2 linked regions of the Schizosaccharomyces pombe genome follow. The protein of the gene in region 1 interacts with the protein of each later gene in a pairwise test. Each region holds a gene or a part of one and is shown in the gene's direction. Other genes may lie near its edges. The genes, in order: sib2 and SPOM_SPCC126.12.

The links.
Region 2: the proteins of sib2 (region 1) and SPOM_SPCC126.12 interact in a two-hybrid assay, tested with the Schizosaccharomyces pombe proteins (one large-scale study listed by BioGRID).

What each region holds. Positions count from the first base shown.
Region 1 is NC_003424.3:868,878-873,273, forward strand, and holds sib2 (ornithine N5 monooxygenase), read left to right. Parts: upstream 1-1,915; 5' UTR 1,916-2,003; intron 2,004-2,075; 5' UTR 2,076-2,147; coding exon 2,148-3,443; 3' UTR 3,444-3,896; downstream 3,897-4,396. Other genes in the region: ferrichrome synthetase Sib1, read right to left, coding at 1-650; Ino80 complex subunit Ies4, read left to right, coding at 4,290-4,396.
Region 2 is NC_003421.2:2,135,742-2,139,712, forward strand, and holds SPOM_SPCC126.12 (NGG1 interacting factor 3 family protein), read left to right. Parts: upstream 1-2,303; 5' UTR 2,304-2,379; coding exon 2,380-2,593; exon of another isoform or gene 2,594-2,646; coding exon 2,647-2,961; exon of another isoform or gene 2,962-3,013; coding exon 3,014-3,184; exon of another isoform or gene 3,185-3,225; intron 3,226-3,249; coding exon 3,250-3,386; 3' UTR 3,387-3,462; downstream 3,463-3,971. Other genes in the region: SPOM_SPCC126.11C (rrm type RNA-binding protein), read right to left, coding at 460-912, 963-1,027, 1,080-1,113.

The sequences.
Region 1 (4,396 bases):
TTATGATAAAAACACCCGTGTAAATAATTAGCAAGAGATGAAGAGTTTAAGCATAAATCGGAACAAGGAGAATTAAGGATGGAGAAGGGGAGGTCGTAATTAGTGATTTTTGAGTTAATCATGAAAAAAAGTAATCTTGCTAAATCATCATCAAACAGAGACGAATTCCATTTTAAAGTAAGGAAATTGGGAGAACAGACAAAGGCTATGTCGGCAACCACATCCATAGATCGAAAAGCGGTTATGTCTGAAAAATAAGATAAAAGTTGATTCAAACATGGTTTAGATGATTCAAACAAATCGTCAGCAAAGGATGGATCTCGACGCGAAGTGAAAACGGCAGAATGTAGTTTATGTAGGTGAAAAACTTCTAAGGGTTCTAGTTGGGAGTTTGTAGAATGATATAAGTAGCATTGGCAATTTTTAGGATTAGTATTAGGAATCACATCGTCTGAAACAGGAAAAAAAAAGAATGAAACTTCTCCACCAGTGATACCACAAAACAGCCAACTCCAAGCGTCCAAAAATGCAGAGTAAGGATGTGAAAAGGGAAGTGATAAAACGTGATAGGGGGCATCACTTGACGGCCGCATAGGACCTAATTGAGAAATTTGAGTTGAGAAAGCATCTTCTTCATTTGAATTCTTCATAAGTCTCAATCAAAAAATTTAGTGACACGGAAATATTTTATAACGAAGGTGTTGTTTCACAAATGTATCAATAGCTAAAGGATGTATTAATCCTTCATTAAAACACAGTAGCAGTAAGAACCAAGTAGAGGAATATCCTGCTAAAATATGGATGCTTGTAATATTACACCACCCTTGCTTAACGAAGTTTAGTTACGTGATTTGGCGCAGCCTTAAAGTTCGTTATAATGTGCAATCAAAAAGGCCTGTCTAAACAAGGCAATCAACAAACTGGAAGTTTTTCGGGTGACTATTTTCATCGGAGTTTGCTCTTTTAAGTGAATTTTTCAATACTTTCGAAAGATCATGAAAAGCCTCATTACTAATCTTTTCCGAAATTTAAAATGGAGAGATATCAAATGAAGTGCATGTGACCTAGATTTTCGCTTACAATATTGCCCACTTTACCACCTTATATTTATCAGATCGATAGAGATCGGATGAAGAGAGTCTAGAAGATCAACGCGGGGTGCCGGTCGGTAAACCTGAGTCCAAGTAAAGGGGACTTTTTGTAGTGGAAAACGAATGAATAGAGTTTTCCATTTTTTCTGATGTCTCATTTAATCGATGCCATTCTATTAAAAAAAATGTGTTGTAACACACTTACCACTTCCTTTTCGCTTTACTCCAGATTTGCTTCCGCATAGTTCAAAAAACTACGGACTTGCGAGATACAGAGCATGCGACCGCAGCATAGAGAAAGTGGATGAAAAGGGGAGGGAAAGAAGATGACAGAGAAATATAGACCTTGGTATGCGGTAATTTTAACGATTTTCAAATAATTTCATAACAAAGACTCGGTTTTCCGTAATACTAAATTTGGCAGTACACTTTTCACCTTCTGTTTATACCTAAGAATACAAAACGATGCTTAATTTTAGGCACTTCTTATTTTTTGTTTATTCGTATGTACGCGAGGAGAAAACATATACCTGGCGATGCTTTGTTTTAATTTCCCATAAAAAAAGAATTTCGCTCAAGAAAAACAGAATTTTCATTTCACCATCCTCTTTTTTTTAACGGTTGTTTATGCTTCGAGATTTTCTCGGATTTCACAAAATTTCCACCTTAACTGCAGTTACGTAAGGGCTTAGCGCTATGACGGAGAAAGCGCGACATATGTTATCGAAAGGGAATGGACTCCTTAAAATACATGTGCTCATATACTTCCATTATATAGGCTCATTTTCGCACGTATTGTGGGTTGGATAACAATATTTTAAAATCGACCAACAATCTTCTTGCAAACATTTGTAGTAGTGCTAGCCTAATTAATTTCAAAAAGCCGCGCATTCTAGAATATCGTGAAACTTGGTAAGTATGAAAAGGAAAAATATGTTTTTTCGGATAATGGAACCAAGTTTTCTAATATTATTGCTTGCTTAGGGAAAATCCCTAATTATCTAATTAATTCATTTCGTCCCTCTTTCTTAAAAAAAAACCTTTGGAAATAAGAAAATGACTGAACCTCTAGATTTAGCAATTATTGGATTTGGTCCCGCTAGTCTTTCTTTCCTTATTGCTTTGCATGACCATTCGGAGGAGCCCTTAAAGAACAAAAAAATCCGCGTGTTTGAAAAGTTGCCCACGTTTTCCTGGCATGAGGGTATGCTGATTCCTGGTTCAAACATGCAAATCTCATTTGTAAAGGATTTGGCAACGCCCAGGGATCCTACTTCTTACTTCACCTTTTTAAACTATCTACATTCGCATGGCCAGGAACGATTATCTGGTTTCCTTAACATGTCCACCCTAGAGCCATCTCGTTACGAATACCATGACTACTTATGCTGGGCAGCCAGCCATTTCTCCAAGTTTGTCGAGTACAACGCTAACATTAATAAACTCCATTACGATGCCGCAACTGATCTGTACATTGTGGGTCACGGTGATACTCAATGGCAAGCGAAAAACATCATTATTACTACGGGTTGTCAGCCGTATATACCACCATTGTATAAATCAGTCGACAGTCCACTTATCGTCCACTCCAGTAAGTTCATGTCAGATCATAGTCAAAAGTTGCTTCGAAATTCCAAACACGGCATTCTCGTCGTGGGATGCGGTCAATCTGCTGCTGAAATATGGAAACACTGTCATTACTCTCTCGACCCCAAGACCCCTTTGGCAATGTGCTTTCGCAATTTGGCCCCAGTTCCCAGTGACTCAAGCCCTTTTGTGAATTCGCTTTACTTTGACAGCCATAACTCCCATTGGTGGTACAACCTTCCCACTGAAGCTAGATTGAAAGGACTAAGCGTTGGCCGTACTACCAATTACAGTGTTGTCAAAGAGTCACTATTGGAGGAGATGTTTAAGGAGTGCTACTTGCAAAAACTGAGGTATGGTCAAGAATTCCATCAAATAATGGGTGATACAGACATTCAGTCGATTAAGAACGAAGGCGATCATTTAGTTGTTCAATTGACTAGTCAAATGGACAAAAGCAAAAAGCCTGAAACTCGTAAAATTGATGTCCTGTATGTAGCTACTGGTTATGATCATGAATCATTCGATGTCTTAATGTCCTCCCTTTTTCCCAACTCGCAGGGCGCTCAAATTTCTGAGGAGTACTGTGTACTAAACGCCCCAAGTAAACAGGGAAAAGTCTATGTTGCCGGCATTACCAGCAATCAACACGGAATCGGCGAAACCCTTCTTAGCTGGGCTGCTATCCGAGCTGGTGGTTTAGCCAAGGAACTGTTTGGTCCGAGTAAACCAACTGCTCGGGTCCCTGCTTCTTATCTTAATTGATTCTCAGCTTAACTATTCACCTCATTTGATGCTTCGCCGTCTTTCATTATCTTTTATTCTTTTTACAAGAACATAGAGAAATCTTCGACTTTTGCATTTTCTTTTGAACCTTTTATTCGGTTTACGAATCTCTACACTGTATATTTGTATAGATTTCGATGACTTGGTCAATTTAAAGCTACTGTGAATATTTCCCTTCATTCGCCCTTTCATGCCTTATTTCGATAGTAAGTCGTGCTATCCCAATTTCTTACGTGACAATAAAAGGTATTTTGACATTCCGGTCGATTAAAGACGACTTGATACAGATATCCATATAGCTATAATGTATTTTGCTAAATTCGAGCTTACTTTTACTTAAAGACCCAAATTGACATACAAAACGTAAGCAGTGAGTATGCTTAACATTATTAAATAAATTAATTTTGATTTCACTAAAATATTTAAGCGCGCTTATTCGTAGAAAAATTATCTTCACTGCAAAGCATGTTGTTCGTTAAAGAAATTTTATGTATATACACTGGAGACATGACGGTGCACCAAGTCCAAGCTGGCGAACTATGGGACGGCAGATCCCAACGGTGGAACACGTTTAGTTGATACTTTCCACCTCGCATTCAAATTTTTTTCCTGTCTTCTCTTATTCCAAGTTACCTTTCAATTTTGGTCTTTAAGAAAGGTTTCCATCTTATTGCTAAATAATTTGAAGAGAGATAAATTTAAAGAAAAGGAAGTTTAAGAAGTTTTTTATCCTTTAATCAGTGTTTTCGATTTAGTTAAAAGAGTTCGAAAGTTATTTGCTTGGTGCTCTTACAAATTACATATTTGGGTAATTATAAACATATAATGAGCGAAACTTTAGTATTACATTTAAAAGTGCCAACTGAAAGGTTTCGAGAAGTTTTAAGTTCCTTGAAAGAGAAGCAAAACTTTACTGCATCACCATCTTCTCA
Region 2 (3,971 bases), on another chromosome or scaffold:
CCAATTTTCAAAACAGTAGAAACGAGGGTATCAACAATTTACTATGTCAACAGAAGGTCTACAAAAACAAAACTTGATTTCGTAAATTGTAACAACTTAAATTTTAATTTTTCAAATAAGCTACTCACCAAGAATACATTCAAAGGAAAAATGGGAAGGAATTAACGTCCGATTTTTAACGCTTTGTGAAGATTAAAGAGTTATGTACAGAGTTTCAGAATAAGAAATACGATGAGATTCTTTATAACAAGAACTGGTTTGAGGGAAGGCAGAAATTGATTTAAAATCAAAAGGTAGAAACTTGAATGAGTTTTGGTAAGTCTCTAGGTTTCCCAATTACAGATAACGTGAAGGAGTATTTCAGAAGAGCGATATGGACAGTAGGTATCATATTAAGTCACGTACACTTCAGTGGAAGCAAAAAATAAGTATGAAAAGAATCTAACAGCTGCAAAAAGTTCATTTCTTTTGAGTTCTTCTCTTTTTACTGTTTTTTTTAATATAACAAGAGAGTTTAAAGCCATCAGCAGTTACGCCATCGAGCTTTTGGACAACTTGCTGAGCACTTGCGAGGGTACTGAATCGAACACTAGCACGCACCTTTCCTTGAGAATCGTTAACTTGGCAATTCAAAATTTCCCCAAAATTAAGCAACGTAGCAGCGACATCGTCAGAAGAAGTTCCGGGAGCAAGATTTTCAATAACTACGTTAGTGGGTCCGGCGATACCACGGATCGAAATAGCACCATTGCTTTGGGAATTAGAATTGGATGGCTTTGTTTGATTTTCTCGTACTATACCATCCCTTAGTTCTTGCGAGGGGAGAGTCAAACGGTTAAAAAGCTCATTATTCTTCAGTTGCTTAACAATACGTTTATCAAACAAACTTTTATCTGAAGTTAAAGCTGATCCCTTCACAATTTGTTAGAGTAAAAAAACATTGGAAAAAATAAAAAGCATACGGTTTTAGCATTTGTTGGTTTCCCAACACGTCCGCCAACTGTATGTTTGCCTAGCGACAGCGGTGCTATGTAAAAATATGTTAGCTTTATTTTATGGGTTTCCAGCTACGATTTTACCTTCTTGCTTCTTTTTGTTGCCTCGTTTTGCCATCCGTCCACGAGAACTTATTAGGTGCGTGTTGGTGGTAGTGCTGCTTAGTAGCAGGAATTGGAGGTGAGACGGGAGATCCTATATCGAACATAAACAAGAGTGAATATCAGGTAGAAAACCTGAGAAGTTTAACTGTTTTTCTTGAGCTTCTATTTAAAATTAGTCATGTAATCAATTCATTACTCCTATTTCAAGATTTTTCAATAGATATTGCAATCTTTTGATGATGAAATATCTTGAATATTTGCATGCATGTTGGTCATAGTACCATTTTAAACAATTAAGATTCCCAAATTATACATATTTCATCCTTCCTATAGACCTTGGAATGACCTTAGGAAAAAAAAGAGTTGTTTACAAATAATTGTCATATAGACCAATTAAAAAAAAAGCCGACACAAAAGGTCCAGTTATATTATATATTGAAATGTTTGAAGTGTACTATTAGCAATATGATAATCAATTTAATGTGTTCATTAAAATCCAAAGGAGATTAATCTGCTCCTTCTTAAATATTAGTTCTTGTTTCTTTCAACTCTTTCTTTACAGTTTTTTTCTGCACGGCAACTGTGAGCTGTAGCATTTTTAACGCTTGAGGAGATATAAAAACCGATTAATGCATTACCAATGTATATGTTTTGAATGTAACGAGTAGTCTAAGAAGTACTAGAACCGATTGAATGATAATGAGATTGCATTCGAACGTTTTTAAAAACTTGATGAACTAGAACACTAGACACTAAATTGTTTTGTACGTTTAATAAACGAGATTTTTTTTCCTAAGAATTTATTTCATGTCCCGAAGAATACGCACTACAAACATTAAATACTGGATGCTCTTTTACAAATGGGATAGAAATGCCTATGGCCTCTTCCTTTGACTGAAAAAATATTTTCTATAAACAGAGGAAATTAATAAACAAAGTAAATATTCAAATTGTGAAATTAACACTCAGCATTTCTTATATAGAGGCATTTGCAAGCGTAGATTTTTTTAGCTGTATTAGGATAGATAAAAAAATATCGGTAAAATAATAAAGTACTACCTAATCGTTTTTTAATGCTCGCTATGCAGTTCAATATTTTTTTACCGATACGCAGGACTGCATAGTTAAAATTGTGTATTGCTACGCGTTGCTAGAATTCCTTCATGCTCTACAGAATTTAGCAGATTTGAGAAAGCATATCCTAGGACTAAGTGTTGTCGTAAACGTGGTCTTACGGTCGTTCAGGAATCACTGCGTTTAATGGTATCTTTCCCCAAATATGTCTAAGGCAAATATTTCTTCCAAATTAAAAAAAGTAGTTGAGTCCATCTATAATCCAAAATTGGCGGATTCTTGGGACAACACTGGGCTTCTGCTTGAGGCTCCTTTCCCAAGAACAAATGCAAGTTCCGTACTTTTGACGATTGACTTGACTGAGAAAGTTGCTGAAGAAGCTATTTCAAATAAACTTGTATCATCTATTGTAGCATATCGTATGGCGGTTAACCTTCTACTTTTATTGTTTACACAACTTACTCACAACTAGACCCCATTATCTTTCGTGGGCTTAAAGCCATCACGATGGAGGATCCCCAACAAAGAAGCCTTTTAAAACTTGCTGCTGAAGGAATTCACGTTTACTCGCCTCATACAGCCGTTGATGCTGCTGTTGATGGAGTAAATGACTGGCTGGCCCAAGGTATAGCTGGAGGACGAAACAACATTAAAAGCGTGGTCCCAACTCAGCAAAATTCTGTCATGGCTGAGGCAGAAGGTTACGGTCGAATTTGCGAACTGAAGATTCCTACAACCTTGCGTGAATTGGTCCAAAGGGCTAAGGAGTTAACCGGCTTGCAATATGGTGAGCTTCTTTTTATCTTTATTGTTAATATTGTTAACCTATTTGATTGTAGTCCAAGTGTGTGCACCTAACGGATTAGATTCTCATATTTCCAAGGTTTCTTTATGTGCAGGTTCTGGTGGATCTGTGGTTATGAATACGGATGCAGATCTTTACTTTACTGGTGAATTGTCTCATCATCAAGTTTTAGCTGCGATGGCCAAAGGAATCTCAGTTATATTATGTAAGGAAAAATCTGTTCAGTTCACCTCTTTGGTATTATATATTATTCAACTAACAACAATGTAGGCGGACATTCCAATACAGAAAGAGGTTATTTAAAGGATGTAATGTGTCAAAAACTGGCTTCATCCTTTCACAAAGAAGGAGTAGATGCAAATGTGATTGTATCTTCTATGGATGCTGATCCTTTGACTACCATGTAGATTTACTAAAATAAAAAGCTGTTACTTATTTAACATAAATTGAAGAAATGCTAAAATTAAATTGCATTAATTTTGACTTTTCACAAAACTCATAATTTGTAGATTCTTCTTACTCTTCTATATGAAGTACATTTTTTAGAGAACCAAACTGGTTGATCTTGAACCAGGTATATTAGGAAATTTTTGATTTATGTTTTACTAATATAATATCGGTCATAATGATGCCAAAGCTTCAAAAACTAAGCTTTGTTTAGCTAAATAAAAAAGTTTCAATTATTTACTCTCCCTCCGGGATTCGAACCCGGGCTGCAAGCGTGACAGGCTTGTGTACTACCCCTATACTAAAGGAGATTATTGAAAACTTATTTTTTTTAGTTATACATATTGTAATACTCATATTAAATTTAAATGAAATTAAATAATTGAAGGAATATACTTTGGATTTAGTTATGAAACGAAGATATCAGCTTAAAGTTGTTGTAAAAATAATAAGTGATTTTGGGCTGTTAGCTTGTAGCACCGATTCAGAAAATAACAATTCAGCTTCTTACAGCTGTTGCAAACGGAGTAACCTTGATTCATGTT